Linked DNA regions of Rattus norvegicus. The protein of the gene in region 2 interacts with the protein of the main gene of each other region in a biochemical or structural test. Links are inferred from orthologs where the notes say so. Each region holds a gene or a part of one and is shown on either strand. Other genes may lie near its edges.

Region 1 (4,927 bases), on a different chromosome or scaffold from region 2:
ACAGGATGATTTACTCAGTAAATGACAAGCAGCCCAGCTCATCCATTAACAAATACATAATCTCCTATAATGTGGCATGTGAGAGAGTGGTGAGCAAGAGACGCTAGCTGGGTCCCCAAGGAGCAGTCATTTGTCTTCACATGGTGCAAGTGTGGGTTGTGGAGGTGGCTGGGGCTTGTAGATGTGCCTGGGTGTTCACACAGGGGCAGAAGTTGAAGAACAATGTGTGCCGGGCAAGAACCCACACTGAACCAGGTAGCATGTACAGTTCTTTGTCCCTCTAGTGCCTTTCCCAAACCTCGGGCACTCACCTATGGGCACGATGATCCCAATGACAGCAGCGGTGACTGTTGAACCCATCTGGCTGCCTTCATTCCCATCTGTAAAACACCATGTACAGAATGATGCCCCATCACTGCGAATCCAAGCGCGGCCTGCCCTTGAGCTGTAAGGACCACCCGCCCAACCTCTTCTTGTCCTTGCTCTAAGGTGATGCTCCCAGTTACTGTGTAATAATTCAGTCTCACTAAACATCCCCAAAACTCCAGGGGCAAATAGGACTGAGGTTATTTCACATCCGGGAAACTAAACTTTGATAAATGCAGACTTGGGATTTGAACACAGGACTCATGACCCAAGTCCAATAGGAAGCTGGGGGCTACGCGGCAGGTGAGAGCTTAGGTCTCCTTGCTGCCGATGGGGCTGGCTGTCTTTTTCCACTAAAATCCAATGCACTGTCTCCACTGTTTTGGTGGTCTGCCTGTTCTATGCACTACCAGCTTGTTTTCCTAAGAGATTAAAACCTGATATACTGGAATGTAGTAGAGTGTAATTGGGAGCATAGGCTTCTGGGTCAGGCTTCCTCGGTTCAAATTCTATCTCTATTACACATTACCCGTGTGACCCTGTGGAAGTTAATGTAATATTAAACGTATAATGTATATTATATGTATATTATATTTATCTTAAAATATTTTCTACCTCTTAGGGGTCCATTTAAGGATTAAATGGGATCATATCAGATACTTAGCACAATATCTGGCTGGCATTGCCTAATTCAAGATGGTAGTGAGGTGGTAGTAGTTATGATGAGGGTTAAATTTAAAAAGGTTTGTTAGCCAGGCATGATGGTGAATGCATATCACACCCCACTCGGGATGGTAAGGATAGAAGACCTCAAGTTTAGACTAGCCTGGGCTACATAGCGAGACCCCATCTCTAAAGGATCCTTGTTGCTGTTAAAGGCACATAAAAGCCCATTCTTAAATGAAGAGTAATTATAAATGTATTGTTTTAAATAAATATCCTTCCCTAGCTCTAAGACACCTGAGACACCTGTACAGCTCTATGCCCTGGGATCCCATGAGAGCCCTCTGAGGTGTGAGAGGAATGGCTAGCCACTGGCAATGCCCCCCAATCTATTTCTCCATGTTACTTCAAGAAACTCTGGCTAATCAGGGAGCTGCCCTGTTCACCAAGTTAGCTAATTGGAGGGCGCTGGAGAGATGGCTCACTTGTTAAGTGCTTGCCATTTAGGGATGGGGATCTGAGTTCTGCTCCCAATTCATGTAAAGCCAAGCATGGCAGCATGTGCCCATAGCCCTGGCTGAGGAAGGAGACAGGAGGAGACCTGAAGCTTGCTGGCCAGCCACTTTAGCTGAACCAGTGAGCTCCAGGTTCTGTGAGAGACTGTCTCAAGAATTATATTGCAGAACTATTGAGAACACTCCCAAGGTTGATCTCCAGCTTCAACAAGCACACATACATATTATACACCTTCAGTACACACACGTGCACAAAGATGAACATGTACACACACACACACAAACACACACACACACACATACACACACACACGCCCGCACGCACACACGCACAGGCATGCACGCATACAAAGAAGGAAGAAAACAAGCTAATTGGAAGCACTGCTGTCCCCTTGCTCTGATGTGCTAGGAAACGTCCCAAGACCTGAGAGAACACTCAGACCTCTGCCCCCATGAGAGGAAATGGAATTCCACCTCTGCAAACACCAGGCTGCCTCAAACGTCTATTCTTAGAACCTAGCCTCTGCTGGCTAAACAGCCCTGATCTGAACAATGTCACCAGGTTGCTTGGTTTCTGGGCCAGCCGTGTATGGGGAAAAAATGAGAGATGGTTTATCATTTAAAATGAAGCCCCCCGGCAATTATAAAGGTATTTTCTGGTTAATGAGATACAGCTGTTCCAACAGGACAATTACTGCTCCCAAGGATTAAAGAAGTACTAAGCTTAGTTATTCTATCCAAGATTTGGAAACAGGCACAAGCAGATCATACTTTACAGACATTACTGCCTGGGCAGCTTACCAAGGCTGCCGGGAGCTCGGATAGAGCTTTCCAAACTCGACGACACCCACCTCAGGAACACATGGAACACTGACACATACCCAGGCAGCTGGGCACTTCCATTCACAATGCCTCTTTTGCCTAGTTCCCTCTTTGAGGCAGGGTCTTACCATATTGCCTTGGCAGGCCTGGAACTCTCTATGTAGATCAGGCTGGCCTAAAACTTAGAGATCTGCCTGTCCTGTCTCCTGTTTGCTGACCACCACTGCCAGGAGCCTTTGCCTCTCCTGACCATCTTGAGAAGCAAGTCGAGTGTAGCTTATTATTGGTTCCTTTTAGGGGGAGACTGACGTTTAGAGATGAACGAATGGTTTGCCTCCAGGTCCTTTTAAACTTATGGACACCCAAGCTTCCTCAATCCCAGGACAGGACCTTCTCTCCCTTGCTTCCTCCTAAGAGGTGGACATTACAAGATCTTCCTTCCTAGCCACTCCCGACCCTCATCTTGGCTTCCCCCAAGTTATACGAAATGCAGAGCTGACTTCCTTACAGTGCTGGGAGTGGTTGCTGGTTGCAGGGCTCAGGGTGGACGGGCTGGTGCTGTGAGCCTTAGGGATGTTCACTGAGTGAGGGACGGCAGCTGTCTGGCTTGGCATCTCTGTGCTGTGGTTCTGGTAGGTAGAGTCGTGGATGGTTGTCCCAGGGGCTCCCGTAGTAGCAGGTACTGTCCTTGTCATAGCAGAGGCTAAGGTTGTAGTTGAGGTAGACGGAGGTGCTAGAGGGGAAAGACAGCAGTTTGTTGCTTTGGTGCCCAGTTATGGTTGCTGAGTTCCAGTAGGGGCTCAGCCTCTGGGCTTAGCTCAGATGCCACTATTGTGAAACTTTCCCCCATCCCCGAATGGGCCGTGATCTTCTCTGAAGCTGAGTCCTAGCACTTCACTTTGATCTGATAAAGACGGGTCCGTGGGACAGAGCTGTGGAGACAAGTGTGGAGGAGGCCTCTGTAAAAGACCAGAGGGAGCAGAAATACAAATTGAGAAGCATTTCATCCTCGTCTGTAGTTACATCGTCAGGTTTAAATTCTTCACGTTAAACAGTTGAATCTGGACATTGTAAATGATGTAACAGGCCTGATGCTCAAACCCAAGGTTTGGCTACACATGGGGACTGAGAAACAAAGCCCAGTTGTGAGGATGAAGTGCTAGTCCACCATTAGTCACAACTGCACTCAAGGGCATCTACGCAGTGTGCCAGGTCTAGCTAAGAACAGGCATCTGCTACAAATGGTCAGCAAGGACCAAGGGCTCTTTACTCGAAGTTTTCTTCATTTTAATTTTTACTTTTTGATCTGTTTTTATTTTGTATCTACGGGTGCTTTGCCTGGGCACCACGAGCTCGCCTGGTATCCTCAGAAGTCAGTAGAAGGAATCAGGGTTGGAACTTCTGGAGTTGGAGTTAGGAATGGTTGAAAGCCATCATATAGGTGCTAGGAACTGAGCCAGAGTCCTCTGCAAGAGCAGCAAGTGCTCTCAGCCACGGAGCCTACTCCAGGCCCCATTAACTTGGTTTTCAAGGGATTCTAGAAACTTCCTGAAAGTCGAATTTAAAGCATTTTATGCGCATTGCACTTTTCTTGGAGATGGGAAAGCCTTGGAGGGTGCCATGAACTCACTCTGTCAAGGACGTTTAGATAAGACGAAGGTGCAGATGTGAGAGGCAACCGGGGAAGTTGGAGGAAAAGCTGGAGCATACTGAGTCCCTACGAGTCCAGGGCAATGTTTGTCACTAACCTCGGTAGCATCTCTTCATGTCTGGGCCCAGCCACATTGTGTCAGGACAGGCACAGGTGTACTTGGGAGAGTGGCTGGAGATCTGAGGAGCAGGAAGGCACAGGTATTCACAGCCGCCATTGGGCTGGGCACTCAGCTCACAGGCATCTGCAGCTAATGGCAGGGGGAGGAGCAGACAGAGAGCATGTTGGGAGATTGACAGGCCATGCCAGGTCCTCTTGTCTACCAATAGTGAGTTCCCACCAACTGGACTTGCACAGAAATCTTTCCCCACCAGCATAGTAGCTGGGACTTTATCGTTACCCTCATTCATTCTTACAGTTCTGAGAGGTGGGTTACGGTTCCAGGTGACAGAGAAGCCTACCCTCAGAGAACACACGGACACGTTACAACTCTAGGAATTTTAAGTCTACCTCTCCCCGACTGTGTCTGTCTCGTTTGTTCCTCCTCTGGGCACCTGCCGTCTCTTTCTGCTTTAAGTCTCTAGAACTAGAATCAGGTGCAGACCTCATCGTCTTGCCCCTCTCTTTGCTGTCTCCCTTACCCTGGCAGCCATTACTGGTTACAGCTGGTCATGGCAGCGGATGACACAGCCCTGTGGTACGACTATTAGACCGTTCCCAGTAAGCCACCTGGCTAACTGTAAGGCCTGGAGACACAGGAGTTTGCAGTACTGCAAAATGGGTGCTAGAAGTAAGTGCACACTGATGTGTCGCGACAGAAGGAACTTGGCAATCAGGTGGCCTCCGGTTTAGATTTTTGTTCTACCTGCTAACATTGTTTTTTCTCTCCAACTTCAGTTTCCTCAATTGT
Region 2 (5,698 bases):
ACAGGCTCAGGGAGGAAAGACTTGATGTCCCCGTCCTCCTGAGGGCAGCAGAGGAGCGCCGGGCCGCCTGTCACTTTCCCCTCCACCCCTCCATAGAAATCATGTTTATAAGTTATGGAAAACCGGGACATTTTACAGAAAAAAAAAACTTAAAAAACAAAAAATACACACGGAAAAAAAATAGGATCTGGGAGGCCTCGGTTTTCTCCAGTTGTTGACATGGTTGCCAGCAGGCGGCGCCGAGGGGTCGGAGAGCACAGCAGCGGCAAGCAATTTAGAGAAAGCTTGGCCAGGCGTAGTCACACCCTCTGCTCTTGGGGACTTACGCTGGCGGCGGGAACATCATAGGCCTGACCTCACCGGGAGGGTGGCTCCAGGTCACTCCCCCTGTGCAGCCTGGCCCCGGAGAGCTGGCGGAGGACTTTGTCTCTGCAAACAGGGTGGGGGCAGGGAGATGGGGCTCAGGAGCCTCCCTGTCCCAAAAAGGGCTGAGGTGGTAGCATGTGCTGACTTTCTCCCAGTGGGAAGGTCAGAGGTCTCAGAAACTTCAGGAAGAAACCAAGTTCCTGGAAGTTCAGCACAATAAAGAAAGTAACTGAGGGGGGAGGAAGGGGCCCTAGGACCTTCCCAGACTAAAACAGGAAACGTGAAGGTTTTGGGGATTTTTTTTTTTTTTTTTTGGTTCTTTTAATTTTGTTGAAGATATAACTCCAGCCCTCACGTATCAGGCAGGTGCTGGGTCACTAAAGTGCTTTTCCGTGGAGCTGCATTCCAGCCCCAGCTCTGATGTGTGTGTGGTCACATCTTCAAATTGGGCCTGCATGCCACCACTGCTCCTCCTGGCACCCCACTGGAGGAGAAGACTCAAGATGAACTGGTCAATGACCCTCTAGACCGCAACACTGAAACCCTTTTTACTGCCATCTGGAGATGGAAGCTGGCCCTTAGTAACCCATGAAAATCATCTCACCACACCCACTCCTTGTCAGTGTTTTAAGCCAAAACTAACAGGCCTGGGCCCGGCACCCTGTACCCTTGGAACCAGGTGTTCCACCTCTTCCCATCCTGCGGAGTCATGTGTTGCCATATCTGCTGCCAAGCCTTGTTAGGAGGCTTCTCCTACTGCCACCCTCTGAGCAACAGCTGGGAATGGGAACCCCTGTGCAGGCGGCACTTCAGCAAGCATCCGAGTGGTGTGTGAGCCCTTGGCCCTACCTGACAGCCCGGTAACAGCAGCCTTGCCATGTGCTAGCCTGGGCTCTGTTCTATTACCTGAGCTCAGGGGATCCTCCTGCCTCAGCTCTGCAAGTGACTAGGACTAGAGGCACATGTCCCCATAAATAGCTGTTCTTCTGGCTTGTCTCTTAAGTGTGTTGGGTGTTTTGCCGGCATGTATGTCCCTGTAGGGCTGTCAAATCTGGGTGTTGAGTTGCGAATGCTGTGATTTAAATCTGGGTCCTGTGGAAATGCAGTCAGTGCTCTTAACCTCTGAGCCATCTCTCCAGCCCCTACACTTCTTTCATGAAGAAAAGGAAAAGTGCTTGGAAAAGGCAAATGCATGTGCCGAGGGGCACACCTGCAACCCCAGCATGCCACAGCAGAGGCAAAAGGACCTTTGTGACTTTAAGGGCAGCCCGAGGATCCGATCGCAAAACAACTTGAAAGTTGTGCTCAGTAGGGGTGGGGATAGCTCCCCCTCCCAAGATTATACATCCGGCAACCGCCAGAAACAGGACAGTAGCATCAACACTTGGGTTCCCAGGGCTTGACAATGTATGGCTTCAAATCCATTGGGAGCCACCACTGAACAGCTCCTGAAGGAAAGGAGCATGTCCCCAGCCCGGGGATGGGGAGAGTTCACCCGTGGCAGAGGAATCAACAAAGAGGGGCCAGGGCTAAAACTCAGTTTTCATCCCAGAAGCTGAGCCTCTTAACAGATAGAGCCCCCCACCTATTTCCATTTAAGCCTCCAGCCCTTTTCCGTACAACGAATGCACCAGACCCCGCGGGAAAGGGGAGAAGCAGTACTCAGTGCCCCAGCACCAAGGCCTGGATTATTCAATGAGGAGTCAGCTCCTTTTTGGGGGGGGGGGGGGGTCACAAGGCATCAAAACTCCACCTCTTTCCTCTGCCCTGCTGTGAAGGGGGGGGGGGAGAGCAACCCGCCTCGTGACAGGGGGTTGGCCCAGCCCGCCCTAGCCCTGAGGAGGGGGCGGGGCAGGGGGAGTCCTATAATTGGACAGGTCTGGGATCCGGTCCCCTGCTCAGACCCCGGAGGCTAAGGAGTTGTTTCGGAAGGAGCTGGTAAGACAAGCTTGGGCTGGCGATTCACCCAGGGGGCTTGGTAAGACGTGGGCAGGGGACCTTGAAATCCGCTGGAGTCCAGGAAACAGGCACAATTATTAGAAAAGCAGGAAGCCCGATAGAAGACTTAGGGTGGCGGGGAGACAAACTAAGATCGTGAGGTAACTAGCCTTTGCCGGGGTCAGAACAGATGGAGGAGATGGAGGGGTCATCTCCAGGAGTATGGGACTGTCGGTGCACTGCATACGGGCTCAACTAGAAGGTAGTATCAATCTTTAGCGAAAGGACCCGCGATGAGCCTTAGGTTGCGTTTATATAAATACCTACTGATTTCCATCACAGTCCCCAAAATTACCCTGGGCCAGTTTCAAAGCGAAGATCCTCATGCCTGAGCGTCCGAAGTTCTGGGGTCGCGGGAGGGTACCACTTCGCAGGGATGGAGGACGATTAAAAACTTACATTAGTACTAAACCGAGAGCCCGGCTTAGCAGGGAAGGTAGAAAGGAATGTAAATTGGACCACCGGCTGTCCCTCTGCGTTGTGGAATTTGAACCCTAGGACTGGGAGCTGGAATTTTTGGCAGCGGGTCCACCCCGGGGTGCTGAGATAGAGATAGGAGGGGGAGGTAAATAGACCTTTGGGCAGATGCTCTATTGTGGAGATGTTTGTGATGACTCACAGACCTGAGAAGGGAATTAAGGTGGGGGCTCTTTGGGTGGCCCGAGTTTCTCCACCCCTACCCACTGGTGTTCAAAGACAGCTTTTCCTTCCGCAGACTGGCCAATCACAACTGGGAAGATGAAGGCTCTGTGGGCCCTGCTGTTGGTCCCATTGCTGACAGGTATGGGGCAAGGGGTGGCTTTCCCTGCTGGCAGGTTGGGGTTGGGGCAGTTCTGAGACCTCTGAGATTCAATAGCCCTGAGCAGCTGTTTTACATGCAGGCCTTGTCTTTCCCTATCCATAATATGAGAGGATTGATGCTCAGAGGGTAAAGGTGCTTGTCATAAAGCTCGAAGACTTATCTCGGAGCCCAACATGGTGGAAGGAGAGAGCGGATTCTCTCTAGTTGTCCTCTGACCTCCAAGGGTACACACACAGACACACAATTAAAAAGTTGAAGTGTGTAATTTCTTAGTCGCTTTTAAAGGGGAGGTATACATTTTCTAACCCCATACCAGCCTAGTCTCAGCTCTGTTCTACATAGGATACTAGACAGTGTATGCTTGTAGTATCTAAACAGACTCCACGACTGACTTCCAGACGCACTGTTGCTTCAAAGAGACCCAAGAGCACTGTAGGTCCTGACCCAGCCTTAAACTTACTACTCTACACAGGATGCCTGGCCGAGGGAGAGCTGGAGGTGACAGATCAGCTCCCAGGGCAAAGCGACCAACCCTGGGAGCAGGCCCTGAACCGCTTCTGGGATTACCTGCGCTGGGTGCAGACGCTTTCTGACCAGGTCCAGGAAGAGCTGCAGAGCTCCCAAGTCACACAGGAACTGACGTGAGTGCTCAGCGCTTCACCCTCCGCACCTGCTGAGTATCCAGATCCAGGGGTTCCTCCTATCTGGGCACCTACCTACTTGTTTCCTTTCTCCATGAGTGTGTGGGCCAGGTTGGCCTTGAACTCTCAATACTTCTGCTTTCTTTAGCCTTCTGGATACTGGGATGAACAGGCATTCATTTATGTTCTTGGTCGAATGGCTTTTGGCTTTTTGAGACAGGATCCCAATCTAACTTAAGCTGGCTTCGAAGGCTCTGCAATTCTCCTTCCTCAGCTTCTCAACTTCTGGGAATACAAGCGAGTACCACCGCACCTCGCTCTGTGGTTTCCTCCCACCCTAATTCTGACCTTTTTGTCTCTGCATTCATCTCCCTCTTGTGTTTCCTCTGGGCCTGCAGGGTACTGATGGAGGACACTATGACGGAAGTAAAGGCATACAAAAAGGAGCTGGAGGAACAGCTGGGCCCAGTGGCGGAGGAGACACGGGCCAGGCTGGCTAAAGAGGTGCAGGCGGCACAGGCCCGTCTGGGAGCTGACATGGAGGATCTACGCAACCGACTCGGGCAGTACCGCAACGAGGTAAACACCATGCTGGGCCAGAGCACAGAGGAGCTGCGGTCGCGCCTCTCCACACACCTGCGCAAGATGCGCAAGCGCCTGATGCGGGATGCGGATGATCTGCAGAAGCGCCTGGCGGTGTACAAGGCCGGGGCACAGGAGGGCGCCGAGCGCGGTGTGAGTGCTATCCGTGAGCGCCTGGGGCCACTGGTGGAGCAGGGTCGTCAGCGCACAGCCAACCTAGGCGCTGGCGCCGCCCAGCCCCTGCGCGATCGCGCCCAGGCTTTGAGTGACCGCATCCGAGGGCGGCTGGAGGAAGTGGGCAACCAGGCCCGAGACCGCCTAGAGGAGGTGCGTGAGCAGATGGAGGAGGTGCGCTCCAAGATGGAGGAGCAGACCCAGCAGATACGCCTGCAGGCCGAGATCTTCCAGGCCCGCATCAAGGGCTGGTTCGAGCCGCTAGTGGAAGACATGCAGCGCCAGTGGGCAAACCTAATGGAGAAGATACAGGCCTCTGTGGCTACCAACTCCATTGCCTCCACCACAGTGCCCCTGGAGAATCAATGATCATCCCTCACCTACGCCCTGCCGCAACATCCATGACCAGCCAGGTGGCCCTGTCCCAAGCACCACTCTGGCCCTCTGGTGGCCCTTGCTTAATAAAGATTCTCCAAGCACGTTCTGAGTCTCTGTGAGTGATTCCACACAGCTTCAGCCTCAGTTTATCGTTTCTGCCTGACATAGCACACATTCCATGGCCATGTCTGTAGAAGGAGGTCATGTGCTTTATTTCAAGTCTAGTTTGGTCTGCTCTGCTTTGGTTTTGCAGTAATAGAGATAAAACCTAGGAGCTAGCAACGCCAAAGGACAAGTGCTCTACCTCTGAGCCCCGCCCGCAACCCTTCACCGGGCGATTCTACCTTCCACTGAGCCACGCCCCCAGTCCTTCACTGGGGGGATTCTAGGGAGGGGCTCTACCACTGAACCACGCCTCTAGATCTCACTGGGGGGATTCTAGTAGGGGTTCTATCACCGAGCCACGCCCGCACCCATCACTTGGGGATTGTATCTAGCACTGAGCCACACCTCCAACCTCTCAATGGGGAATTCTACCATGAGCCACGCCCCCAGCCCCCTCGATGGGGGAATTCGAGTCCAGCGCCTACCACTGAGCCACGCCCACACCCTTGGGGCGGGGTGGGGGGAGGGCGATTCTAGGCAGGGGCTCTTACGTTTAGGTATATCCACGCTTTTTAGTCTGAAATAGCATCTTAACTGATTCCTCGTTGCATTCACTCCAGCCTAGTTGAATCTTTGAATCTTTGTCTTCAAT
Region 3 (4,927 bases), on a different chromosome or scaffold from region 2:
TCTGATGCCCTCTTCTGGTGTGTCTGAAGTCAGCTACAGTGTACACACACACACACACACACACACACACACACACACACACGCAAAGTAAATATTATAAATAAATAAATAAGAATAAAACAAAAGGAGCAGGAAAGAAAAAGAAAGCAAAAGAAGCACGCCCATTCAAGACACATACATGTGAAGTCTATAAAAACACACCATTAATCGGAAACCATAAAATACAAACAAAAGACCAGTAAAGTTAAGGGGAAAAAACTGAGAAAGGTCCAAAGATAGCTTCTGAGTTAGGGTCGGGCTCTCACGTCCAGCTACCCTCACAGGGCTGGAACCCTGTCAGGCTTGGACCTATGTGTTGATCTGCGCATGCTGCCACAGTGTCTGTGAGTTCACGTGTGTCAGTCCAGCTGTATCTGGAAGGCCTTGCTTTATCCGTCTCCTCCAACCCTCTGGCTCTCGCAACTGTTCCGCCTCCTCATTCGGCAGAAGGGTTCCCGGAGCCCTGAGGCGAGAGATTTAGTCCTATTTAGTACTAAGTGTTCCACTTACCCAGCAATTAACAGTTAACAGCACAGGGACATACTTTTTCATAGCCAATAAATGCAGTGGTTGTGGGTCATCCCAACACGGCTGTGAGTCTCTGTGTGTGCTCCCATCCACTGCAGGAGGGCGCTTCTCTGCTGATGGCTGAGCAAGGCACTGATCTCTGAGTGTAGCGGAATGTCATTGGGGTGCTGTGAACAGACACCATGACTAGGGCGAGTCTCATAAGGACATTTCACTGGGGCTGGCTTACAGGTTCAGAGGTTCAGTCCATTAGCATCAAGGTGGGAACATGGCAGCATCCAGGCAGGCATGGTGCAGGAGGAGCTGAGAGTTCTACATCTTCATCCGAAGGCTGCTAGAAGTCTGACTCTCAGGCAGCTGGGAGGAAGTTATTAAAGCCACACATGCACTCCAACAAGGCCACACCTAATAGTGCCTCTCCCTGGGCTGAGCATATACAAATCCTCTCGGAGGTCATTCCGCTGCTGGGTTCCTTTAGCAGAATGTACTTGCTTCTCCCGCTAGGTCCATCCCTTTCTAATCTCAGGTTCTCGGCCATGGTGGCGTGTCAGATACAGGTTCCCTCTCATGAGGATCTGATAGCTGTTTACTTGGTACAACTTTTGTGCCTCGACTGTACCAGCATATCAGGGGCTCAGGTGACCCGTACTTTAATCTCAACACTCAGGAGGCAGCGGCAGGCAGATTCCTGTGAGACCAAAACCATCCTGTTCTATATAAAGTTCAAGGCCAGCCAAAACTACACGGTGGAAACCCGTCTCAAAATAAGTTTTAAAAATAACCAATTAAGCCCGATACGTTTTCATACTTTATTCAACAGCCCAGAAGTCGGTCCTAACACCTGATGGATTTCCTCTTTGTGTTTATTTGTTGATCCTCAGCTGCCCTCTCGGGTACATTGGCTACCTCTGCTGCCTTCCCCGGTTAGCTGATGTGGCCATCTTTGCTGTGCTGATGACCACACCCTTCCTTCCCTTTCGCTCTTGCAGCAGAAGATTCATGTGGCAAGAACGAGTTCCAGTGTAGAGACGGAAAATGCATCGTCAGCAAGTGGGTGTGTGACGGCAGCCGCGAGTGCCCGGATGGCTCCGATGAGTCCCCTGAGACATGCAGTAAGTCGCCTCTGATTGTGGGTGTTTGTAGAGACAGAACCCATGGCCCTTCCCGTTCTAGTCAGGGGCTTTTTCCCCCAGCGCTCTCCTAGTTTATATCGTGCCAGAGCAGTCCAGCAACCCTAAGTTCAATCCTCAATTTGAAGAAGGCTCAGAGTGACCATCCCTAATCCAAATATTCAAAATCCAAAGCATTTTGTATGCTGTGATGATGGATTTGGAAAGTTTCACACCTAGCCTCATGCTATGCCTTGCAGCAGGCACAACAGTCCATTAACAGTGCTGTGTGGAATTGCTTTTAGGGGCTGTTAAGATGAGAGCAGGCACTTGGGGTCAGCCTTCATGATATGAGTTTGATCCCTGGAATTCATATGGTAGAAGGAAAGAATGTCCTGTATGTCCTGTGACCGCCACACACACACACACACACACGCACACACACACACACACGCAAGAGATGGACCTGGCCTAACTAAATTGTGTTCCTTTTGAGTGATGGCTCCTCTTTATCCCTAGTGTCTGTCACCTGTCGATCCGGTGAGTTCAGCTGTGGAGGCCGCGTCAGCCGATGCATTCCTGACTCCTGGAGATGTGATGGGCGGACCGACTGTGAAAATGGCTCGGATGAACTAGACTGCTGTAAGTGACGCTCAGACCACCCTGGATGTGGCGTGTGTGTGCGCGCGCGCGTGCGCGCGCGCATGTGTGTGTGTGTGTGTGTGTGTGTGTGCATGCATGCTGGCCCATCTTGCACTAAAGAGTCCCCTAGGGGCCCTGGGATGTAACAGTCGTTCCCGAGTGGACTCCACCTGAGTTCTGGTGTGTGCTTGCTCCTATGGCTTAAATCCCACCTTGAGAGATGATGCCTCCTCCGTGGACATCAGAAGCATTTATGGAGGGGGAAGCTCTGATGACTGTCGCCAGGGAGCCCACTTGTAGGCTGCCTCCCTGCCTTAAGTGCCCACATTGGCGGGAAGGCTGAGCTGTGTTCGGAGTCCAATCAGAGCTGACGTACTAGCCGCCAATGTGTTTATCAGCTGTGCGTCATGATGTCATACCTCTTATGTGCCGATCCACAGGGCAGACTTGGGACGTGAGAGTGCCAAACCCTGAATGTTATCTCCATGTAATGTGGGTTTCCCCATACCTACATACCCTCAATAGTGGAATTTATATATTTAGCAAGGTAAGCAGTTCACAGCACAACCTAAAGTGCTAAGATGTGGATCAACCCCTGCCTAGAATCTCCACCCCAAAGAGGGGCTCGTTGGTACAGGAGTGGCTTGATACTTTACCGTGTGAGGGAAACTGAGGCAGAGACAGGTGTGTTGTAGCTTTCTGGGCCTTTGCCTACTACCACCATGTTTTTTTGAGGCACAGGGTCCTGTCTGTGAGTAGGCTGGTGTGTGGTGGTATGAGCCATAGCATGACAGGGCGCTCTCCTCTCTGTGCACCCCCACAGCCCCCAAGACGTGCTCCCTGGATGAGTTCCGCTGCCAGGATGGCAAGTGCATCTCCCGGCAGTTTGTGTGTGACCAAGACTGGGATTGCCTGGATGGCTCTGACGAGGCCCACTGTGCGGCCACCACTTGTGGCCCTGCTCACTTCCGCTGCAACTCCTCTTCCTGCATCCCCAGCCTGTGGGCCTGCGACGGGGACCGGGACTGTGACGATGGCTCCGATGAGTGGCCGCAGAACTGCGGGGGCCGAGACACGGCCGCTGAGGTGGTCAGCAGCCCCTGCTCCTCCCTCGAGTTCCACTGTGGCAGTAGTGAGTGTATCCATCGCAGCTGGGTCTGTGACGGTGCGGCTGACTGCAAGGACAAGTCGGACGAGGAGAACTGCGGTAAGGCCCTGGGGAGGAGGGATGGATGATGGCTCTCCAGGCCCTGTATGCGGGGCTTTGGGGCTTAGAAATAGCCAGACTGCCCAGAGAGGAAGTTTTGTTTTGGGTAAGGGGCTGTTTGGGTGGGTAGAACACCTGTCTCCAGAGCATGAAGTCCTGAGTTCAAATCTCCTGCAGACAGCCATGCTCGAGCCTGTGATTCCAGTGCTTGTGGGATGTGGAGACCGGAGCTGGCTACCAGCCTGGCTCCCAGTTCATTGAGAGACCCAGACTCGGGGAGGAGGAGGAGAAGGAGCCAGAATTACAGGAGCACATACCCGCATGTGCACACATACTGTGCAATAAATTTTTAAAAATTAACCAAAGATAAAGGCTGGGTCTGGTGGCACACACCTTTAGGAGCAGGTTGATCTCTGTGAGTTGAAGGCCAGCCTAGTCTACATACTGAATTCCAGGAAAGCCAGGGCCTTGTAGAGAGAACCTGTCTCCAAAAACCAAAGGAAATGATTTTGTTTTAAAAAACCAACCAAAGATAAGTTTAAAAAAAATATATTTTTTTCTTTCTTTGGAACAATGAATTTTAAGAGGGCCAAATCTGTGGCTCACTTAGTAAGTGTCTTAGTTTTCTGTGGCTACGGGCAGTGACCAAGGCAACTTAGAGGAGAGAGAATTTGGTGAGGTTTACAGTTTCAAGGGTGAGTTCATGACCGCCATGGTGGGAGCGTGGCAGCAGGCAGGCGGGCATGGTGTCATAGCTGTAGTTGAGAGCTTACATCTGATCCACAAGCGTGAGGCGGAGACAGTGCTAACTGGGAAGGGTGAGAATCCTTTGAAATCTCACAGCCTGTTCCCAGGGACACGCCTCCTCCAATGAGGCCACACCTGCTAATCCTTCCCAAACAGTTCTACCAACTGGGGGCCAAGGATTTTTAAACTTAGGACCCAATCAGGACTGTTCTCCTTCAAACCACCATGCCACACATTCATGAGTCCCAGGTTTCAATCCCCTGGATGATTTATTTAAAGACAAAATTATTAGTGTACATGATACATGTGTGTGGCAACACATACAGAGGTCATAGGGCAACTGTGAGTCCTCACCATCCACTGTGAAGACTCCAGAGATTGGCTCAGCCTTTGGGTTTGCTGGTAATTGCTTTTGCTTGCCAGCCCTATAGCTGCAGTTAAGCAGAGCAGCTTATCCGTGCTTCTTGTGATGGTCACCCTGTCCTCCACAGCGGTGACCACCTGCCGACCTGACGAATTCCAGTGTGCAGATGGCTCCTGTATTCACGGTAGCCGCCAGTGTGACCGTGAACATGACTGCAAAGACATGAGCGACGAGCTTGGCTGCATCAATGGTAAACTTGGTTCCTCGCCGGCTCCTCTTCCTCTTCTCCCT
Region 4 (4,598 bases), on a different chromosome or scaffold from region 2:
CATTCAGGAATATCAGAGTTAGCAACCCTTAGAATTAGCCTTCCGTATTGTCTCATTCAGTTTATAACATAAATCTCACAGTTTACATTTAAAAATGCACGGAACATGCGCTTTACTATATTTCCTTTACATGAATTGTCTAAAAAGTATTTAAACATCAGGGGGAGGGGTTCATTGTGTCACTTGCTTCTCACAATTATATACAAATAAAATGATCTCTCTGCTGTCTTTTCTCACTAAAGCTAGTTGATGCTAAGAAGTGGTGTGGATAACATGCCCATAGTCACAAAAGTTTGATAACTTACATGCTGCATTTGTAATGTGCATCTTGTGATCAAGTCCTGGTGTTGAAATACCACACAACACACACACACACACACACACACACACACTTCTTCCATGTATAATACTGTTAGAGTAATATATTAGGAACAGTTTGAATTTTGTTGAAAGTATGAGGAAATTGGATTCTCTGGGTTTGTAAACAGATGTTGGTGATATCAGTACATCAGGATAAGATTGTCTATAAGCTGCCCTGCCCAGCTGCCAAAACATGATTTTTAGAGTCTGATCTTGCCTTAGTATCAACTGTTGTTTCTTTCCTCTGTCAACCTGTCCTTCATGTCTATGATAAAAGCAGAAGGAGATAGCATTTAAACAGAACATATTGTCCACAGAAGCTAAGCATCCTTTGATCTCTTCAAATTAGCCCATTTAGGCTCCAGTTACATCTCTGTTCTTTGAATATTTGCTGAACTCTATCATTCAGTAATTACTTTGGTGGAACAAACGGGAAAGAACAAAAAGGCCTTTGATGGAGAAAACAAAGAAGGCACATCATGTCAGACTGAATGCTATGATGTCAGCACTGTGGAGAGATAATCTGAAATTTTGTCCAATCTAATCTTTGGCTTCTTTTTTAACTTCAAGTATGTATAATTTCCAGATTTCCAAAGAGAACTATTTCTTTGGGAGCATTTATAAATGAATTTATTGGAGCCAGAAATATAGCTTAGTCATTAAGAGCATATGTTTTTCTTCCAGGGGACCCAAGTTTATGTTCTAGCATCTGTATGGAGAATCACAATTGTCTACAGCTCAAGCTTCTGGGAATGTGATGCTTTCTTCTGCCCTCTGTTTTCACCACACATGCATAGTGCACAGACCTACACACAGGGCAAATATCCCTACACATAAAATAAAATAAAACAATGAATTACAAAACACATGGACTTTGCCTTAACAAATTTAGGGAAAACCATAATGATGTGTCTGTATATTAGTTCCACTTTCTTGGAACATTTTTACTTTCGGATTCAAGTGTTGTGTGGATTCTGTCCACAAACAATGTCCTGTTAAACATTACACCAAAATTAAGTCGTCCCTATTAGAGAATTATCATGATTTCAGAAAAAAATAGAATATTTTGCCATTATTTGATTCATCATTACCAGTTCACTACAAATCATTGCTACTATAACATTGTGCTCATGGAGAGAACTTAGGGTCTTTTGCTTTGCAACTTCCTGGGTAATGAGTTACTTGGGCAAAAGCTTTGAAAGCTTCAGATTGGTAACCCATGTTTGCATGATGTTTTTCTCTGGTGGTTTGGTACAGTTTGGCTCGGTAATTCTGAAGAATGCACTTCTGAGAACACTTCTTGTAGCGCCTTGAAGGTATACCTGACATAATTTTTTTTCAAGTTATGCTTCAGTAGTGAAAACACTATCTTACTGTGCTTTCACTTCCCTGTCTGTAGGGTGAAGAAGGGTACCCACAAGAGGGAATCCTGGAAGACATGCCTGTGGACCCTAGCAGTGAGGCTTATGAAATGCCTTCAGAGGTAAATGCTTACAAACAGAAAACCAAGAAAAATACCCTTAGGTATTTTCTTAGGTACCTTCAGAGGTAAATGCCTATGTGCAACACTCAGCCACTATCACATCTCCCTCATATTATGGTTTGGGTAGTTCAATCATAAAAAGGGTTTTGAGAAAATGATTTTAATCTTTGTGGAAGAGAGTAAGGGATATGGCAGGTCAAAGGAAGAACATTTTAGAACATTCTAGCACAAGAGGTTACCAGAAACAAAGGCATATGAAAATGCCTGAGCAACAATGGGCAGTTATGAATCATGTTTAGAAAACATAAAATATGATAGATTAAGGCTGAAGACATAATTAAGGTTATAGACAAACTGTAGAGTCCCAAATTAACTTTGTCATTTAAGTTTATATTGACATTTGAAAAAGAGTTTGATAATAGGTTTAGTTTAACAGTAGAATCCTGATATAATCAATTAATTGAGGAAGTACCATTCCTGTTATGAATGTTACCTAGATTTTGTCCAGGAGGCTCAGGCTTTAGAATAAATGAGCCTGTGTGGAAACCTCTCATGAAGGTGGGGTTTCCTAATGGGGGAGAAAGGAGAAGGATGAGCTCTGGAGGAGGCTTTATGCAGCTCACCTAGGTGTTCACGGCTCACAACGCAGAGCAAAGGAGAAAATCAGAGCCCCAGCCAATTCATACTGCAGCACGAAATCACAGATCAAAGGATATATCTAGAATTAGGCCTAATAATCTGTGATGACCCCTATAACGTACAGATGCTACGTATGGAAAAACCAATACATGTTCATGACAGATAAGCCCCAAACACTGAGCTGAGGATCAATTTTATCTGATTGAAAGGCTGAGCCCTCCCTCCTGTGAAGCAGACAGTTGATAACTGTCACTTCACTGACAAGGCATGCTCTTATTTTTTTCCTGATATTAGGAAGGCTACCAAGACTATGAGCCTGAAGCCTAAGAATGTCGTTGTACCCACTGTCCTAAGATCTGCCCAGGTGTTCTTCCATGGCGTACAAGTGCTCAGTTCCAACGTGCCCAGTCATGACCTTTTCTCAAAGCTGTACAGTGTATTTCAAAGTCTTCCATCAGCAGTGATCGGAGTCCTGTACCTGCCCCTCAGCATCCCGGTGCTCCCCTCTCACTACAGTGAATACATGGTAGCAGGCTCTTGTGTGCTGTGGATATTGTTGTGGCTTCAAACCTAAAATGTTAGAAGAAACTTAAAACACCTAAGTGACTACCACTTATTTCTAACTCTTCACCGTTTTTTGTTGCTGTTCTCAAGAAGTTGTGATTTGCTATAAGACTTTTAGATGTCCTTAATGATTCTTTCTGTCTAAGAAGAATGATGTGCTGTGAAATTTGTTAATATATATTTTAAAATATGTGAGCATGAGACTATGCACCTATAAATATTAATTTATGAATTTTACAGTTTTGTGACGTGTTTTATTAACTTGTGTTTGTATATAAATGGTGGAAATTAAAATAAAATAAAACATTATCTCATTGCAAAACCTTTTTCCTGTTTCACTTTAGTAACAAAATCATGCGTATCAGGAGCATGAACATGAAATAACAGCTGACAAAATGAACTAGAATGTAAAGTCTTAACACTATCTTGAAGAATTGGGAAGTGTTAGAGATGGAACTCTCTCCTGCAGGAGGAATTCTCCAGTGCCATTGCCCACAGCCAGCTTGATATACAGTCCTGCTCAGAGCTGTGGGAGCACTGAGAAACACTTCATTGGAACTGAAAGGTGTGAGGGATAGCGACTACAGCCCTTTTACATATTCATAAGACATATTAGCATATCCAAGGCAGGCTGTGGAAGAACCTGCTTAATTTATTGCATGTACACATGTGTGTGTGTGTGTGTGTGTGTGTGTGTGTGTGTGTGTGTGTGTGTGTGTGTAAGGAAGAACTCAGGAAGTACCTTTCCCATTCCCCATCCCTCCTCCACCTGTTTCTATGAATGTGCTCCCATTCACACCCACCCACTCACACCTCAACACCCTGGCATTCTCCTACACTGGGAAAAAGAGCCTTCACAATACCAAAAGCTTCTCCTCCTGTTAATGCCAGAGGAGGCCATCTTTTGCTACACATGCGACTGGAGCCAACGGTCTCTCCATGTGTACCCATTGGTGCTTTAGTCCCAGGGAGCTTTGGGGAGGAGGTAATCAACCAGCCAGTTCTTCTCTTAAGCAGTGTCTGACTGTTGATATAGAAGCAGTTAATTGGTTTTTGTTGCTTTGCTTTGTTTTATCCTAAGCATTGATTTTTCACTCAACACCTAAAAGTGGTTTCTCAGTGCACACGTGCCCTGATAAGGGTCCTGCCCCTGACTAGTGCAGTCTGAGGATGCCTCTTAACTAAAGCTCTAGCTTTTCAGCTTGAAATCCCAAGTCAGAGCTGTTTGATCTGTAATGAGTCCACCAACGACTTTAAAGAAAGCCTTCCACAGCAGGCTTGGACACACGGCTGGCCGCACAACACAATCAAGTGGACACGTTGGACTTTTAACTCGTGTCTCTTTCAAAAGTCTCTCTCCTAGATTGTAAGATGCAAGTAACTTGTGTAACTATTTGTGATGTATTGAAATATATAAATTCAGTGTCATACAACTAGTACACTACTAATAATCTATTCAGAGACAGGAGGATCATGGGTTTGAGACACTGTCTCAGGAAACATATACTGGTAGTTTCTGTCTACAATTTCTGGCAGAATACCTTAAAAGCAT

What was found.
Region 1: the proteins of Apoe (region 2) and Lrp8 form a complex in vitro, tested with the Homo sapiens proteins (2 studies listed by BioGRID). The link is inferred for Rattus norvegicus from reciprocal best matches to the Homo sapiens genes APOE and LRP8.
Region 3: the proteins of Apoe (region 2) and Ldlr interact in a biophysical measurement, tested with the Homo sapiens proteins (2 studies listed by IntAct). The link is inferred for Rattus norvegicus from reciprocal best matches to the Homo sapiens genes APOE and LDLR.
Region 4: the proteins of Apoe (region 2) and Snca form a complex in vitro, tested with the Homo sapiens proteins (2 studies listed by BioGRID and IntAct). The link is inferred for Rattus norvegicus from reciprocal best matches to the Homo sapiens genes APOE and SNCA.

The regions. Positions count from the first base shown.
Region 1 is NC_086023.1:127,847,392-127,852,318, reverse strand, and holds part of Lrp8 (low-density lipoprotein receptor-related protein 8 precursor), read right to left. Parts: intron 4,268-4,927; coding exon 4,115-4,267; intron 3,100-4,114; coding exon 2,875-3,099; intron 381-2,874; coding exon 312-380; intron 1-311. UniProt on the Homo sapiens protein: Cell surface receptor for Reelin (RELN) and apolipoprotein E (apoE)-containing ligands. LRP8 participates in transmitting the extracellular Reelin signal to intracellular signaling processes, by binding to DAB1 on its cytoplasmic tail.
Region 2 is NC_086019.1:88,481,233-88,486,930, reverse strand, and holds Apoe (apolipoprotein E precursor), read left to right. Parts: upstream 1-2,231; 5' UTR 2,232-2,304; exon of another isoform or gene 2,305-2,344; intron 2,345-2,410; exon of another isoform or gene 2,411-2,465; intron 2,466-3,060; exon of another isoform or gene 3,061-3,079; 5' UTR 3,080-3,102; coding exon 3,103-3,145; intron 3,146-3,638; coding exon 3,639-3,807; intron 3,808-4,205; coding exon 4,206-4,932; 3' UTR 4,933-5,042; downstream 5,043-5,698. UniProt on the Homo sapiens protein: APOE is an apolipoprotein, a protein associating with lipid particles, that mainly functions in lipoprotein-mediated lipid transport between organs via the plasma and interstitial fluids.
Region 3 is NC_086026.1:28,552,208-28,557,134, forward strand, and holds part of Ldlr (low-density lipoprotein receptor precursor), read left to right. Parts: intron 1-1,556; coding exon 1,557-1,679; intron 1,680-2,195; coding exon 2,196-2,318; intron 2,319-3,141; coding exon 3,142-3,525; intron 3,526-4,763; coding exon 4,764-4,886; intron 4,887-4,927.
Region 4 is NC_086022.1:91,025,248-91,029,845, reverse strand, and holds the end of Snca (alpha-synuclein), read left to right. Parts: intron 1-1,759; coding exon 1,760-1,843; intron 1,844-2,776; coding exon 2,777-2,809; 3' UTR 2,810-3,372; downstream 3,373-4,598. UniProt on the Homo sapiens protein: Neuronal protein that plays several roles in synaptic activity such as regulation of synaptic vesicle trafficking and subsequent neurotransmitter release.